3 linked regions of the Saccharomyces cerevisiae S288C genome follow. The protein of the gene in region 3 purifies or fractionates together with the protein of the main gene of each other region. This does not show direct contact. Each region holds a gene or a part of one and is shown on either strand. Other genes may lie near its edges.

Region 1 (3,957 bases), on a different chromosome or scaffold from region 3:
AAGAACTTGTGCAATACCACCGATGGTACCCGCAAAAATATCCTTCAACACACGATTAGAACTTAACTCTCTCTTCTCATTCGGCGTGGTAACTTTCTGTTGATCTTCCAATTCATCCAAAAGCTGCGGCGTAGGAAATTCTTCACTCATGACTAACTGTAATTGTAATACACGAAATTATTGCGCCGCTTTTTTCTGTTCTTTATGGCTACCCCTATTTATCAATTACAGTTGTATCATCCAAGAGGTGAAAACTAATTAAAGAAACTTATTTTAACACAAGGTATAAAAAATTATAAAAAAGCAATGCTCATTGTCTTCTCTCATCGCGAGCGGCCGTTATCTTCAAAGTGATGACTCTTCGAGATTCCTGCACAACGTCACTCAAAGGCGGCCCGCGACGTTTTCCATTGCGAAATTTTTCACTTTTCACCTTTTGTAAACAAAGAAATAACAATAAGAATGATAAAATTCATCTGTTTATGTACTGTACCTAGTTATTATATGGCTACAACTGAACCTTCTTGAAGCGAGTATGCTACAGAAATCTTGTTTCCCGCACAGTTCCATGACAGATCAAATATATAATCATTGTCTTGGCTGCTTTGGTAGCTAGCGTAGAGGGGAATTGGTAATGGATTCAAAATCCCATCACGGTTACCATAAAGACTTCGTGACTTGCTGTTCAGTTTTTTTAAATCGTAGACGTTTACCTGCCCATCCATGAAAGCAACTGCGTACTTCTGTCCATCTTGTGATATTCTTCCAGCAAAAATTGGGACACCATCCACGATTGATAGAGCCAATAGCGTATTCTGCTTCAGCGACCATAGGCGAACGGAGCCATCCATCGAGCAGGATATTACCTTATCATCACCGACCCATGATGCCGATACTATGCTTTGTGAGTGTCCGTAGAAGCAATTCTGAGAATTGCCGTTACCGCCATGCCATATTCTTAGAGTACCATCGTCTGAGGCACTAAGTAGAAGTTTATTGGTGTCATTGAACTCCAAAACGCTGATAGGTCCATGGTGTCCAATAAGTTTACCAGTGGGCGTTTTTTCTGTAATTTGGTATACAAATATAGCACCTTTAGGGCCAGGAATGACAAATTTGTCATCGTCTACCCATTCAACGTCAACCCCAAGTGAACCATCGCCACTATGGTTCTCTGCGTTGATGGATGAGCCACCGGTTTCTTTTAATTCAAAGTGCTGCATGACGGTCCCGCTTATAACATTCCAGAGTATAGTGACATTTTCCACGTCCATGGATATGATATGTGTTCCATCTTTGTTCCATTTAACGGATACTATAGGTGCTCTATGAAAATTTAAAACATTCAGAAGTGCCCCCGTCTTATTCCATAGTCTTAGCTCACCATTTTCTACACCCGTGACAATTGAATTACCATCGTGTGACCAAGCAAGACATGTGACTTGATTCGTCGTTTTACCACTACTTGCACTCAGAGCAAAAGGATGTCTCAACTCCGCTATTATCGTGAGTTTCCAGTATTTTTTCCCTTCTTGATCGGTTTCTACTATCCTCGCTAGTCTTGCAACAGAATTTTTTTCACCGTATGCGAGTATAGATTCATCCAATGGATTCCAAGTGGAGGAAACAATATTATCTAATTTTACTATCTCCTTCAGTATTTTGACAAATCCGTCTAGGTCATCACTACTGTCAATAGAATTAGTATCGTCCTCTTGGGTTTCTCTTTCAACAGTACTAGCGCCATCTTCACCTGCTTTATTACTCTCGGAATTGGTTTCCAAAGTGAACCTTCCTTCAGAAGAGATCTCAGGAAATTTTTCTTTATCTATTTGCAGCGCCTGAACCAAATTGAAATCTTCAGAAAGATGATGTTCATTTAAAGCGCTGATATCACCTTTACTATCAACCATTAACTCACTTTCTGTATACAAGATTCCCCTTTGTACTAGATTCACCAGTGTACCCAAAGGAATGTGTTCTTTATACTTCTCATCAAATTCCAATACTCTTGTTTCATCCTGCAATGCTAATGCACTCACCTCGTGTCCCATCTCTTGACAATACCTCCATATCAAGTAGTTTAGTTCTTCACTTGTTATACTCATTTTCCGTGTGATGGGCCTTCCCTACCTTTTTTTTGTTTCTGTTATTTTTATCTGAGTTAGCAGTTGTTAGTGTGGGCTGTACACTTCTTTGGAAAAAAAAACCTTCAATTTCGCACCAAGGTGTTTAAATTGTTCTCACTAATTGCAAATCAAAACGAATGGTCTTGCATATCTCATAACCTTTTCAACATGAATACATTCCTAATCATTTTTGTTTATTTCTCGTTTGCTAAGTTCCGCTCCATGAAAATAGATGACTGGAAAAAGAGACTAGAGACTGCAGTTAATAGTATATTTGTAAGACCTTGAGCAAAGCCGAATGAACAAAAAGCCTTCATATTAGACCAGGTAAGAGACTGAAAGTTGAAATATTTGTACTGTGAAAATGGTTGAGTTTTCTTTGAAGAAGGCCAGAAACAATTGGAAGCATGTAAAGAAGTCTGCAAGCTCTCCTGCTAAGCAAAAGACACCTCCATCGCCTGCTAAGCCTAAACAAAAAACAAAAAAGAACCCTTATAGTGATCTCAAGGATCCGGCTACCAGTTATACGCTACCAACAATCAATGCAAGGGAGAGAAGTAGGGTAGCAACTTCAATGCAGAGAAGACTATCAATTCATAATACAAATTATGCTCCACCTACACTAGATTACTCAATGCCCCTACCTGATATGCCAAACATGATAGTTCCCAATGATAATGTGGATAGTAGTCATAATAATAGTAGTTTCACCACTGAGAACGAATCGGTAAGCTCTAAAGGCCCTTCCAACAGTTTAAATCTTTCAACTGCCGATCTCTCCCTGAACGACAGCTCCTATAATAAGGTGCCTGCTAGATCAGCAATGCGAAATACTGTCAATCCTTCCGGCAGTAATGATCCTTTCAATAATAGCACGTCGCTAAGAAAGATGTTGGCAAACCCGCATTTTAATGCTAAAGATTTTGTTCATGATAAACTAGGCAATGCGAGTGCCATTACTATTGATAAATTTACCTCAAATTTAACAGATTTATCGATACAGGTCCAAGAAGAAGTAAAGTTAAATATCAATAAATCATATAACGAAATCATGACGGTAAACAACGACCTAAATGTTGCTATGTTGGAGCTTAAAAGGGTTAGAGCAAATATAAATGATTTAAACGAGGTTTTGGATCAGTGCACCAAAATAGCTGAAAAAAGGTTACAATTGCAGGATCAAATAGATCAAGAGAGACAAGGCAATTTTAACAATGTTGAAAGTCATTCTAATAGTCCAGCGTTACTTCCGCCTTTGAAAGCAGGACAAAATGGGAATCTCATGAGGAGGGACAGATCGAGCGTCTTGATATTAGAGAAATTTTGGGATACGGAACTGGATCAGCTGTTTAAGAACGTTGAAGGTGCTCAGAAGTTTATCAATTCTACGAAAGGAAGACATATTTTAATGAATAGTGCCAATTGGATGGAATTAAATACTACCACTGGTAAACCCTTGCAGATGGTACAGATTTTCATTTTGAATGATTTGGTACTTATCGCCGATAAATCAAGAGATAAGCAAAATGACTTTATAGTAAGCCAGTGCTATCCTTTAAAGGATGTCACTGTCACGCAAGAGGAATTTTCCACTAAGAGGCTACTTTTCAAGTTTAGCAATTCGAATTCAAGTTTGTATGAATGTAGAGACGCAGACGAATGCTCTAGGTTGTTGGACGTTATAAGAAAGGCTAAGGATGATTTGTGCGACATATTCCATGTAGAAGAGGAGAACTCTAAACGTATTAGAGAGTCCTTTAGATATTTGCAATCTACGCAACAAACCCCAGGTAGAGAAAACAACAGAAGCCCTAACAAAAACAAAAGA
Region 2 (4,416 bases), on a different chromosome or scaffold from region 3:
GTTTTTGACAAACATACGGCGCAGAGAATCTTGGAAAGGATCCACGGTCATTTGGTCATTTTCCCAACCGAATGGTTAGCTAAAGAAGTTGAGAGTAGAAATTGGATTTTTAACTCGGATAGACTTTCTCCAATGGAAATCTACAATTAAGGGAATATAAAAACGACCAGGAACACACCATTACCTGTATTTTCCTTTTATCTGTTATAAGCATTCGACGCTGATACATAAACAGTTTTCATTATGCATTCTTTTGGTCCATAGTGTCATTATTGCTCTTATTACTCATTGCATTTTTATACTTCAAATATATATAATAATAATATCATTATGTAATTTATGTGCTTTATCTTAAAGAACCAAATTTTTTCTATTTCCGTGTTCAATTGCTTAATAATTGTAAAAGCTTAATTTCTTGGATAAGTCGATGCCAAATAAACTGATTAAATAGATTATCGATAATCCTAATGTTGGTAAAAGTATAAAGTTCAAATTTTTCAAGAATGGCAACTGGTTGTATCCATAAAAGGTTAAAATAAAGTAATGGCCAATAGCAAAACAATATAACGAATTACCAATGAGTAAGGAAATCCAGTTTTGTAAATTAATTATGGGCAGTAGTAAAAACTGAATGAAGTATAGGCACAGTAGGATGATTAAAAATGAATTACAATGAACGTCGAAACAATAAGCCCACTCTACCACACTATTTTGGCTCGATTTGAATTTAAAATGTGACCTATTCAACAAAAGGTAAAAAATAGTTGCCATAATAAATCCAAATATGAAAAAATCTAAAATCACCATCATTACCAAACTTTTGAAAAAATGACCTATAATGCTCAAGGCCCCCATATCACTGTCGTTGTTGAAACCTGAATTATAAATCGACCAAATAATAGAACTGAGTGAAATTAAGGCTATTTGGAAGATGAAAAAGGAAGGATCATCTCTCGCCCACTGATTTTTCGTCTGTCGCTGATAATATATTGATCTATAAGCTTTTCTTGGATGGAAAATCAAATGGAACATTTCCCAGCTGGCTGTCTCGAGATCTAAATTCTTTGGCGTTTTGAAAAGCCTCCTGATTACCATCGGCACAGATTGCTGACCGTAGCCTTGTCTTGCATCGTTTTCATTACCATTATTACGCCTCCTCTGGCCTTGCGGGCCTGCTGGCAAGTCGTTGGAATAAGTCGGCAAATATGACATTGATAAATCCGTTGACTAAGTAGTGGCAATCGAAAAATTATAGTGCAAATCTGTTTCTTTCTGGCTTTTTGCAGTTATTTCAACAAAATTTAAACCTGTTAAGTTTAATATTCTAGTAAGGTCTATTGGTAATTATTTAACCGTTGGAAGTGATCGTTGTATGAAATTATCATTCTAGATTACAGGTAGTCGATACCTTTTATTATAATACTTTTATAGCATGGTATATTATTCGTAAAAAAACATTAAAGACATGAAACTAGTCCTTTGTTTCCCTGGAAATTGTTCAACCAACTCATTCATCTTACTATGTCATGATAGATGCATATCATTATCAACGACATGCTATATACAGAAAGTAGTAATAAAGGACCTTTCTAGTAAACATGATTTAAAGCGTATATACAACAGTTTTAGATCGTACTTCACAAAATACGAGAACTGAATCATGTCAGTACCTAATTCCAAAGAGCAGTCGCTCCTAGATGATGCATCCACATTGTTATTGTTTTCAAAAGGGAAAAAAAGAGCTGAAGAAGCTTCAAAAATAGGCTCTAAAACAGATACTATTGAGCATGATGAGTCTCATGAGAGAGAAAAAAAAGGAGCAATAGAAATGGCAGCAGCAGCACTGGCTACAGCATCCACAGTTTCTTTACCTTTAAAGAAAGCTACTGAGCAATCGGCGGCAGAAGCAGCAACATCCACGGCAGCAAAAGAAGAGACCGAAAATCAACCTCAAAAGCAACCTCAATGGCCGGTACCTGATTCGTATATAGTCGATCCTGACGCGGGTATAATTACATGTATATGTGATTTAAATGATGATGATGGATTCACTATCCAATGTGACCACTGCAACAGATGGCAGCATGCTATTTGCTATGGCATCAAAGATATTGGGATGGCACCTGATGATTACCTTTGCAACTCATGTGATCCAAGAGAGGTAGACATTAACTTGGCTAGGAAAATACAGCAGGAACGCATAAACGTAAAAACAGTAGAACCTTCTTCATCAAACAATAGTGCTAGTAATAAGAATAACGGTCGGGACAGAGCATCGAGTACAACTATTAGTGACGTTGGCGATAGCTTTTCAACGGATCAGGACAATACTAACCACAGGGACAAAAGAAGGAAAAGAAACCCATCAAATAATAGTATAGACTCCAAAAACGAAAGCGCTTCTGTCAATTCTTCCGATGGATTGACTTCTATGCCCAAGAAAAAAGAGCATTTCCTGAGTGCAAAAGACGCATATGGTGCAATATACTTGCCCTTGAAAGACAATGTGTTTAAAAGTGATCTGATCGAACCGTTCTTAAATAAACATATGGATGATAATTGGGTCATACAATATCCTCATAAGACCTTTAAATCTGTGTCAATTGAAGTCAAACCGTATGCTGACATTGCATATTCCAGGACTTACCCAGGCTTCACGAAATTAGGAGTTTATCTCAAAAAGGACTGCATAAAAGGTGATTTCATTCAAGAAATTTTAGGCGAATTGGACTTCTATAAAAATTATCTCACTGACCCACGAAACCATTACAGGATATGGGGTACAGCTAAAAGAAGGGTCATTTTCCATTCCCATTGGCCGATATATATAGATGCACGCTTATCAGGCAATTCAACTAGGTATTTGAGAAGAAGTTGCCAGCCGAATGTTGAATTAGTAACTATAAAACTGCAAGATACAGACAATAGGAATGACAAAAGCAGTGGAAGAAAATCAAGTAGAATAAAATTTGTTTTAAGAGCTTTGAGAGATATTTCAGAGGATGAGGAGTTATACATCAAATGGCAGTGGGATTCAAAACATCCTATATTAAAATTAATAAAGGGCATGACAATAGACTCTTTAGATGACCTTGAAAGGTATGGGCTGATAAATTCGGTAGAAACAATTTTGAGTAACGGCGAATGCGGCTGTGGAAATAATTCTAAAGATTGTTATTTATTGAAAGTGAAGAGATACGCGCAAAGTCTTTATAAATCTGTGAAATCCAGAGGAAAAATGAACAACAGATATAAATTAAATGAAATTCTCAACCAATATAATTGCAAAAAGAGACGTGAGCCACCAATTTTGCATAGGCTAGAAGAAAAGGCTCAAAATACTATAGAAAGAGCTCCAATACTTTTGAATAATTTTTATCGACAAAAATTCCTTAATCGAAATAATGGTCCAAAAATTCCTCAAAAGAATACTATTGATAGTACAAATAATCCTGATGATATTGCAAAACCCTTCAAATTCGCCTTATTTGCACAACATTCTTCTAATATTTCTGTTCCCAAAAAAAATGAAACTTCAGAAAAACCTTTAATAATTACGAAGAGCACAGATTATGACGAATCACACATTACCAATATTGAAGAATTACCAATTCCAGTTCTTTTACCAATAAACAAGACGTCAAGGCAAACTGCAAACGATGTCGAAGAGAGTCAATCAAAGAATGAACATAAATTAAGTAGAACCCCTTCTCTTTCAAATTTCAATAAAGAACTGTCAAAGGAAGCACAACACAGTCAAGCAAAAACAAAAGAAATCATGACAGAAGCTTCGGTTAATTCAAGGCGAGAATCCACTCCAGAAAGTATAATGCACTTATCAGATTTTTCGTCCTCACAACTGCATTCGAAAAAGAAATTAAGCTTTGCGGATTACAGAAAAAAACTACTGAAATAAACATGGACATTTCCTTCTTACACCTATATAAACTTAAGTATATTCAAAAGTGAATATTCATTATTCTTTATAAGATTATATTCGGTTAATATTAAATTACAAGCCTCAATTAAAAAAGTATATATTTGATGAATTATAAATGACCTATATGCGAAAAAAGTGGAGCAATAAAAAATTGATGAATAAAGGGTGAAAATGTGACAATGTGAATGTTTTAGTTCAGAAAGCTTCTTTACTTCTTGACCTATATAATGAGTAGCCCTCCTCATTGCCCATATCATTCTCTTCATCTTCATCTTCGGAGTCTTCTTCATCGCTTGATATCTCGTTATCCATTCGATCATCAACACTGGTGCCTAGTGCCACTTCTTCGTCTTCGCCATTATTATCCAATGCGGATAAAGAATTGAAAAGAATAGTCTTCGGTCTTGGTGGTGTTTTCGGGGTAGTATACAATGGATTACCAGGTCTGGCATATGACTGGCCATCATCATTAGGAT
Region 3 (10,076 bases):
TAGTTTCACAGGCATCTAATATTGGAAATGGCTGAAAGTACCACGTTAGAAACTATTGAGATACACCCAATTACTTTTCCACCTGAAGTTCTTGCGAGAATATCTCCAGAATTGTCTTTACAAAGACACTTATCCCTAGGAATCAGGCCATGTCTAAGAAAATATGAAGAATTTAGAGATGTTGCTATAGAAAATAATACTTTATCGCGTTATGCGGATGCTGGTAATATAGACACTAAAAACAACATTTTAGGCTCAAATGTTTTGAAAAGTGGGAAAACCATAGTCATAACTTCTATTACGGGTGGAATAATAGAAGAAACTAGCGCCGCGATTAAAGATTTGGATGATTTCGGTGAGGAAGAATTGTTCGAAGTGACCAAAGAGGAGGACATAATTGCAAATTATGCTTCTGTCTATCCGGTGGTGGAAGTTGAAAGAGGTAGAGTGGGCGCTTGCACCGATGAAGAAATGACTATATCACAAAAACTACACGATTCCATATTGCACTCTAGGATATTGCCTAAAAAAGCCTTGAAGGTAAAAGCTGGTGTTCGTAGTGCGAATGAAGACGGTACGTTTTCCGTCTTGTATCCCGATGAATTAGAAGATGATACGCTGAATGAAACAAACCTGAAAATGAAAAGAAAATGGTCATACGTTTTGTATGCGAAAATTGTAGTCTTGAGTCGCACTGGTCCAGTCTTCGATTTGTGTTGGAATTCTTTGATGTACGCTTTACAGAGCGTAAAGTTACCTAGAGCATTTATAGATGAGCGTGCGTCCGATTTAAGAATGACTATAAGAACAAGAGGAAGAAGTGCCACCATAAGAGAAACGTATGAAATTATTTGCGACCAAACTAAGTCAGTACCGTTAATGATAAACGCAAAGAATATTGCATTTGCTTCAAATTATGGGATAGTGGAGTTAGACCCCGAATGCCAATTACAAAACTCTGATAACTCTGAAGAAGAGGAAGTGGACATTGATATGGATAAATTGAACACTGTGCTAATAGCAGACCTAGATACTGAAGCGGAAGAAACAAGTATACACAGTACGATCTCCATCCTCGCTGCTCCTTCAGGTAACTATAAGCAATTAACATTAGTGGGAGGAGGCGCTAAAATAACGCCAGAAATGATAAAAAGATCATTGTTGTTATCTAGGGTTAGAGCGGACGATTTGTCAACAAGATTTAACATATAAAAGACTCGGATAAAATTATCTGATGACTGTCGAAAGGAAACGGAAAACTTTTTTCAACGATAACATGTGTATGTAATATATAACAAAACCATCCGGTCTTTTACAATATAATAATAGTGATAATAGTAACAATAGATCCACTAAGAAAAAACGAATATACGAAAGTTGAATACTTAAATTCTTTCAAAGATTTTACACTTACCTTTTTCTTCTGTGTTGAGGTTTTGGTGATGGAGATGGAGTAGGAACGTTTTTCAAGTCAACGTTAACATACTCATTAACCTTTGCGGCAACACCGCCGTGGGCACGCTTTACCACTCTACTGGTTTTGGTGCCTTTACGTTTATAAACGTTAATGTAAAATGAAATAAATAGTACCAAATATGAAGAAATAATGGCACAACCTGCAAAGGTGGCAGTTGTTGAACCCACACAGTCACCACAATGTGGCAAAATTGGGAAATACAAGTGAACTGCTTTTTGGTAGACAGCAAAATATATGAAACCGATATCCAAAACAAATTGGATAATTTGAAATCTGGTAACCCATTCCTTCCACCAGACCCTGATGCCTCTGGCAGCCAAGAAATAGTACCAATACATAACCACGTGAACACCAAGGTTCAATGAAATAGGGACCCAAGAAATAGATGTGGTGCCCATCAATTGGGTGTAACATAATAAGGCAGTAGCGCCATGGTGATAAGTATGCAAAAATGTCAATTTTTTATGTTTTAGCACCAAGAAAAAGGTGTCTATAAATTCAATAAACTTGACAATGTAATTCATGTAATATAATGTAACGAGCGGTTGAGTCCAAGCACCAATATTACAGATAGCGAAGTATAACCCGTGCTGAACAATAATTGGCACTAATTGTTCAACCATAAGCAATAAAAGCGTCAATGAAAGTGAAGTTAAAACCAAATTATGCAATTGGAAAAGGCCATTTAATTTAAATGGTTTCGACTTACTTAACAAAAACCTGCCACCAAAAATAATAACGTAATAGGCAGTGATGGCGTATAGCACAGGGGGCAAAGTGCTTAATGGTAATTCACCTGCAATGAATTGGAATTCGCTTGGAACAAATCTACCGTTAGTTACACGAGTGACGACATCATCGAAATGTTCCCACAACGAAATATTAAAAAATGGTCGCTCCAAAGTTGGTAAATAGTCATGAAGTTGGGGATAACGCTCGAACAACGGAGCAGCATATTGAGTAACGAGTGAATTCATGGCTTCTAGACGAAGATAATTAGTTCAACCTTTTCACTTTGTACAAAATTGCTTGTGGATAATAGTGAAATGAAAAATATTTTCCAATTTTTCATTGACTTTTTCGCGATGTTTATTTCTCTGTGGGTTTTGCGATTTTCAGCAATGGCCGCACGCCAGGACATGTGAATACGTACAAAAATAAAATGTGACATATTTACACGACACTTAAATAAAGTCGTTTAAAATCGGAAAAAACTGTATAATGCAGAAAAAATACGAAATTACAATTATAATTAAAAACTCCTCCCTTTATATATATACATATATATATATATAATATAGTACACTAACACACGTAAGGTAATGTATGCTCGAGAGTTTCACCAACCATTGGATGGAAAAGAAGTAGAGCATATGTATTGCCCGTCTCAGCCGTTTGTTCAATTATTATTTTCCTTTTTAGATAAAAAACTGCTCATTGCATCTGGCGCGGAGGCAACCGCAGCCAAAGCTGCCAACGGATCATTCGAAAAATTGAACTTTGGAGGCGCACGACTTATTGGACTAGTGCGAGGGGCCGGTAAAGGGAAAGTAGGAGTGCCTTGAGAAATAGCATGCTGAAATGGCAGCAACGGCCTTCCATCTGGGTTTGATTGCCCATTCCCATTTACAGGATTTAGTAATGCAGAAATAGAACTCGATCTTGGCGTAGTAATATTCGGTTTTATTTCTTGTACTACAATATTGTTCATGCTGGGAGTGTCTTCGAGCTGTGCTTCGTGTCTTGAAGCGCTTTGGAAAGAAGATTTCATGCTTCGATCCGAATTATTCAATAGATTGCTGATTGTCGTCGATTTACGGCCAATGTCAATTGCATTCCTTTCATTACTGAAGTTTTGATTATTTGTTACTGACGAAGCTGCATCAGCCAACGTGTCAATATGGTCTAAGGGCCTGTTACGCAAATCTGTCACTGTAGGTTCTGCCATTTCTGAACGAGGAAACTGAATAGATGGTAGTCTTGGTGGTGGTAAAGTGGTTAAAGGAGCACTAATTTTAGAAAAGGTATCACGATGAAAATCAGGCCCAAATGGTCTTATAGAGCCATCGATAGATGAAATAGATGTATTATGCCCATGAGTTGGTTGTCCAACAAAATAACCCAAAGCCGGTCTTTGTTGAGGAGGAATATTACTATAGGCATTGATGTTTGGTCGTTCTGGTTGTATCAAAATTTGAGATTGTTGTACAGATTCTGAACTAGTCCCATCTCGCTTTAAGTCGGTTTCATCAACCAGTAATTTCCATCCATTGCGAGCTGCATTTCTTTGGTAGTAATTCCTTACCATTGTAGTAGATTTGGTACCCAGTTTTTCTGATATGAGAGACCATTGAGAGCCAAACTCCTTCAACAATTCTGGAAAGAGTTGAGATTCACGAACACTCCAATAACTTGTTTTATGCTCTGGTGCAGATTTGTGTTTCTTTCTCTGTAACGCATTCTCTAAACTGAAGTCAAGTTCTTTGGTCTCCTCTGGATAATAACCATTCTGAACAGCTCCTTTTGGATCCATTATTTGTACCCCATTGTTGGTTTCTATTACACTGGACTTATTGCTCTCTTCTCCAACTTCATCATGCGCCCTTTTTAAGTCGTTTACCCTCTCAGCATTTTCCAATTCACCTGCAAACTCTTCGCCTCTCTGTTCAATCATATTTTCAACTTTTTCCGGTGTACCTAATGGATCACCTTTCACTTCAGAACCTTGAACTAGAACCGGCTGAACATTTTCCTCGGCATTGTTCTCACTTTTTTCTTCCTTCTCTATCGTGTTCGTTGACTCTTCTTTACTCTCATCAACTTCGACTTCCTCGTCATTACTTCTTTCCTTCCTCTTGCGGCGCTTGGCAGCGGCTGACATTTTTCTTTTCTTGTTCTTATCGATAAGAAGTTGTTTATAATTCACAGTTTTCTTTGTTCTATAATAATGTAGGACACACTCTTCAGGACTTCTTAAGCCGCCCATGTAGTGAGAAATTTTACCAAATTTTTTAGGATGAATTAAATAACCCTCCAAAAATAAAGAGTGCTCATGGTCAGTAAAGTTGTCAGAGGCGTCTTTCAATATTCTAGACGCCCAAAGCTTTTTGTCTGTAACCAAGTTATTTACATCACAGAATTTGTAAGAGTGTTTGCGGATTGGATCTAAAATTAGCGGAGGAATTGTTGCAGCAGCCTGATAATGTTTATAATTTGGGTCGATTTGTAGCAATACATTTTCCATTTCCGCATCATCAACGAAGTCAGCCCTATTTCTGCGACGAGATGAGGAAGACGAGGATGGATGCCGTAAGCTTTTTTCCTTTTCTGTTTCGATACCTTCTTCACGTCTTTTCTGCTCCATTAGTTCGTGCTCTTTACGTTTATTTTCGATTTCTTCCTTCCTTAAATTTTCACTCAGTTTAGTCAAAATTTCGCATTCTTTTTCATACTTCTTCTGGAGATCGAAATAATCATGTTTTAAATTTATTTTTTTCAAATGTTCTTCCTTTTTTATCTTTGATATAATTTTCGTCAAGATAAGTCCGGTAGCCTGCTGATGTATAAGTTTGTTCTGTGCGTAAAAAGGATACTCTGAGAAATTCCTAATTGCCTTTTTCAGTAAGTACTTTTGTTCACTTATTATTTTGTTTCTTTTCTGGTTTTTCAATTCCCATAATCTCGTTTCTGCTTTTGGTAATGGGAAAATACACCCCTCCACTTTTTCAAGAGGTTCTTCGTAACTTTTATTATCATTGTCTACTGTCAACTTTGTTACGTCTGTTTTCAGGGCTTTCGGATCGTATGCTCTTTCATAATCTCTAATTTCTGGGCTTTCCTTCCTTTCAACAGAGCGTGTTAGTTCCTTTTGACTTTCTTTGGAAACTTCGACTGCACTGGCCACTGTTTTTGCCGTCGTCCAAATTTCGTCCTGCTTTCCATCAATATTGATTTTACTTACTTTTTTAGCGCGAGCTTCTAGTTCATCATGCTCTTTCATTTTTACAGGAGTAGGATGTTCCTTTGCTATCTCACGCCCACTTTTATGTACTTCTTTTTTCCCCAATGCATCTTCTTCGCCAACCTTGATATTATCGGGTTCTAAAGGTGCATTAGGTTTAGAAACTGATTTTCTTGGTGGAAAATTGTTATCATGGTACGATATGGCTTTTGTCTCATCTTTACTGGGTGTTTCAACTTTAACTGAAGCCTCTGGTTTGTCCAATTTATTCGCATCGTGAAATTTTTTAGTATGAAGGGAAGGCGATGACTGTGAATGAGTTGATTTTAAAATAGTAGTACTATTTGCTTTCCAAAAAGGTTCCCTTTGATGGATCGAGTTAGTATTGCTGGTGGTCGTCATATTGCCGACATGATTATCAAATGGTGGTCTGGAAGGCGTTCCAATGGATCTCCATTTGTTGCTCCTAGAGTAATAAGAATGAGGGCTGTTATTATTAACAGATGAAACATTATTTGTTTCGAGCTTGTTCGTTACATCAGGACTATAATCATCCATTGATCGAGGTCTCCGAGAACTCCCGTTGGCAACATAAAACGGTGGAGCGTTTGATAATGCCGAGGGAAAGTGGGTAACGTTTGTAGAACTAGTAGATTGAGGATTATATCTGCTCATGGTTTTTCGAGAATAGCGTGAGTTTCCGATATCCGTATTGGTGTGTGTTATGGTGCTCGTATTCATACTTTCCGGAGTTGAACTAGTGGTTGAAGAGGATCTTTCCACATCTGGGTTATAACGGCTTCCAATTTTTCTTGTTGACGAATAAGATGATGACGAAGGCCTACTGACTGAGCTCGGATCATATCGAGATGGCCTGGGTGCTTCGATACCAAACGTGCTTCCAGGTGCCGCTGTAGGAAGAGGTACAGATGCAGTACTGGGAGTTACAGACGGATTTGTTGAATTATCGGCAGTAGGAGAAGATACAAATCCATTATTGCTTGATTTTGGAAAGCTATTCTTGGAATAAACAGCGGAAGGATGCCTTCGGTTAGGATTATTGGAATAATGGTACCTTTTCTTATCTCCAAGCCTTCGTGTAGGTGGCGGATACCCCATGTTTCTTACGCTTTGTTTCTGTTTGCTGTTCTATGCACAAGTTAGTAGGCAAATTATTAAGCAGGCCCTTTCGGAATAATTTAGTGGTTGTATATTTTGCTTGTTAAGGATTCGAGCAATATGACGGCTTCTTTCCCACTGCCTGTCTTAAACAATGAGTAAATTTGAAGGTGGTGCACAAAGTCAATAGTAATCCGAATTTCTGGTCTCTATTAAATCTGCGGTTGCGTTTTGATTTTTACATAATTCAAAGAAGAATTAATCGTTTGTTTTTTTCTTTTACCCTTTTGCCGTTTTCCATAGGCGAAATGGAGAAGAAATACTAGAAAAAAATACCCGGCGTTGGTAATGATATTGGATACGTACGCAATTACAATACTAGATGGGATGAGAAATCAGTTTCAAAAGTAAAGATATAAACTACAAAAATTGAATCATTTAAAGAAAGGCGTTACGATGTGATGCCTAGTACCAAATAGCTAATCTGCCATCTAATGTTCCCGCAATCACTTCTATCTCATGAGGCTCTGCTGTATCCTTGCGTCTTTTCTGGGACAGGTATGTCTTCCCCTGTCCCTTAATGCTAGTTATGGCTTTCCCTTTTTCGGTACAGAGCTGCTTCAGTAGCTTTATCGCCCATTCATTATGAAAATTCAAAAAGAGCTCGTAAATTTCTATAGTTCCATCTTCAAAGCCCACTAGTAGTATTTCCATCTCTTTCCAATAGATATGCTTTCTGTAACCTGCGTCTAACTTAGTGAAGTCAAAAAAATCAATTGAGCTTACAATTTTAGCTGGTTCGAATTTCTTTGATGTATATATTTGTCCATTTAGATTGAAGATCGAAATGGCGTTATTCTTAGTCAATACCATAATGCTCCCTGCATGTTGAGATATTGCGACCTTTTGCGCATCATTTGTTATTTGCCTTACTAGTTCGAAATTAATCATGTCCCAGACATATACTAAGCCGCTGATGTCTAAGGTTAAAAGCGTATTGTAGTCGTGATAACAGCGCATCTCCTTTAGCTCGCATAGGTGCCCAAACATTGTTTTTTTGTTCTCAAGGTTACCTGAAACCGAATGCTTATCTTTACGATATTTCCAAACTTTTATCAGCCCATTTTTATCGCCAGTTATGAATTCGCCCAACTTCCAGTACGCAAACGATGTAATCTGAGCCATATGCGTCTTTTTAAAAATATCTAGTCCAATTTTTAACCAATTTTTATGCACAATTCTCAATGACACTAACGATTCTTCCGTTCTGAAAAACAAGTTTGGGAAAGCGAAGCCCCTCCAGTATAATGAATCGAAGTAACTAGGATCGTGTATAACATAATCGACGGACCTGTTCTTTTCATTCAAATTAAAGATTGTCTTCTCAAATATTGGCTTCATTGGAACCTTACGCCATACCTCTGTTGTTAGCTGTTGAACATTGCAGGCTATTTTTTCCGGATGAGGTTCCTGAAATATTTGTAAAGGCGTTTGACCAAAGTTGTGAATAATGCCTGTGATAGCTCTGCGCTCATTTTCATCGTCAATGTTATCTAGATTTACAGCGCCTGGGTAACTCAATCTGTTGAATACGTTAACAGATTTCACAGCAATGTCCCCCTTTTGTTTGTAACCAAATATCAAATCAATCCATTCATGTAAATGTGCTGATACATAAGGACTTTCTAAAGCTTCTCTATTCTTTTGAATGAAAACCTTTGGGTCACCATTTGCCCAGGGTGGAAGTACGACGTCGTCAACTTTTTTACCGCTTTGGTCTGTACCAAAGTCATAACTATTAACGTTGATCAAAAATTCAGGTAGAAAAAAAAATTCAGGTGTCAATTCCCTGACATCCGTTGTATTTTCAGAAGAAGCAGAGCTCCAGGCCCTTTCAAGCGAACTAAATAAACGATCTGCAGGGCCAAAACTTCCGCCTTGCAATAACAAAAAGGATTCGACAAAGGGCTTCAGCCTTATCAGATATGAAGATACTATCATAGCTGAGGAATAATGCGTGCCATAATGAAATGGTGCGGAATCAGCATTTTCCAGGGAAGCCAAAGCTTCATAACGCTCTATAAACTGTAATTTCCTTTTCTCACTTTGAGCGCCCATAGGTTTCGATAGGTCCCGGTAAGTTTTAGGATTCTCTAAATCGAGTACGTTACTTTCGTAATCTGCAATAACCCACGGAAACACTGGATATTGGGTCAAATCGTTGAATGACCTTCCCGCTAGGATGTTGATACTCAACAGGTAATAAAAATTAGAAATCTCTCCCCTAACCCATTTTTTGCTGATCTCAAATCCATCTATTAGGCTGTTGTTCGCTGAGAAGACGCTAGTGAATTTAGAAGCAATGCTTGCCTTTCCTATTCCATTTCTTGCCACTATACTATTTCCTCGGTCGTTTATTTCTTGTAAAACGCTTGAAAAAATTGGATCTGCTGGAAGGTGCTTCGGGATCTTATTCAGTACCCGTAAAACGTCATCTCTCACTCTTTTGTTGTAAAAACTAAAAAAAGCGCTAACTCTCTCTTTGAACAATAATTCGATGGCGACATCCCGAAGTAGAAAGGGTCGTTTGGTAACGAAAGTGATATCGAGAAGTTTCCAAACAAAGACTTCGTGCTTTAGGAAAGTTGATACCCTTTTAACATCAGGGCCGTTAATTAAGCTAACCGTCATATCCCGTGATTCTTGCGATACTTCTGATAATTTTAGAATCTTTTTATCCTCTAAACTAAAATAGTAATCACTTACAAAGTAAAGGTAATTACTGCCATGAATTAAAATCCCCTCCTTAATTTCTAATCCAATAATCAAACTGCAATTCCAAATAGTTGCAATGGAATCGTTATCCTTCAAAAGTCTAAGAATTTTTCTATTCTCATTCAAATCTCCAACTGGCTCCGACTCAAGAGTCTCCATATGTTCGATAAATTCGTAGGATAAAATGCTTCCACTTTCTCTCCTTTGTCTGTTACCACCTGTTATAGTATCTTGATTAGCATCTTCCTCGTTAATGAGTGGTTCATATTTTGGTTCCCAAGCAGGCAAAAGCCTCCGTTTCATCCCATCAAAATCTTCTGCAAAGTCCGATGACCACTTGCAGGACGAATTTGGATTTGATTGTATCTCCAGTGTATGTTTCAGATGAAAAATCAAAAGATTTAAATTATTTCGATAGAAAACTGCATTTTCTTCTCTATCCGTTTTGAGGTTGTAAGTGTATCTTGATATGGACTTTTTGATTTTAAAATCTAAGGATGTGTTGTCTTTTCTAAATAAAATAAGGCACTTTTTATTGTTTTGGGTGACGTATTCTGATCTTGCATTTTTCCATTCGTAAACTTGGTTTTTGATCTGTCTAACGCTTATTGGAGAAAAATTGTTGTTCTTAAACAAGATATTGGTGACAATGTTTATGAACCGTACCTGTTGTGTATTGTTGAAAAAAAATGGGTATTGTTCAGTTATGAGGTTCATTGTTTCAGAGTTATTGCATGAGAGGAT

The links.
Region 1: the proteins of SNT1 (region 3) and SIF2 purify together in Saccharomyces cerevisiae (affinity purification with mass spectrometry; 7 studies listed by BioGRID, with this or other methods). This does not show direct contact.
Region 2: the proteins of SNT1 (region 3) and SET3 purify together in Saccharomyces cerevisiae (affinity purification with mass spectrometry; 6 studies listed by BioGRID, with this or other methods). This does not show direct contact.

The regions. Positions count from the first base shown.
Region 1 is NC_001134.8:445,860-449,816, reverse strand, and holds SIF2 (Sif2p), read right to left. Parts: upstream 2,109-3,957; coding exon 501-2,108; downstream 1-500. Other genes in the region: YMC2 (organic acid transporter), read right to left, coding at 1-150; exocyst subunit EXO84, read left to right, coding at 2,494-3,957. UniProt on the Saccharomyces cerevisiae protein: Antagonizes telomeric silencing in yeast. May recruit SIR4 to non-telomeric sites or repression.
Region 2 is NC_001143.9:497,078-501,493, reverse strand, and holds SET3 (histone-binding protein SET3), read left to right. Parts: upstream 1-1,660; coding exon 1,661-3,916; downstream 3,917-4,416. Other genes in the region: SPO14 (phospholipase D), read left to right, coding at 1-150; GMH1 (Gmh1p), read right to left, coding at 391-1,212; SAP190 (Sap190p), read right to left, coding at 4,136-4,416.
Region 3 is NC_001135.5:182,970-193,045, reverse strand, and holds SNT1 (Snt1p), read right to left. Parts: upstream 6,558-10,076; coding exon 2,877-6,557; downstream 1-2,876. Other genes in the region: exosome non-catalytic core subunit RRP43, read left to right, coding at 28-1,212; fatty acid elongase ELO2, read right to left, coding at 1,411-2,454; BPH1 (Bph1p), read right to left, coding at 7,023-10,076. UniProt on the Saccharomyces cerevisiae protein: Part of the Set3C complex, which is required to repress early/middle sporulation genes during meiosis.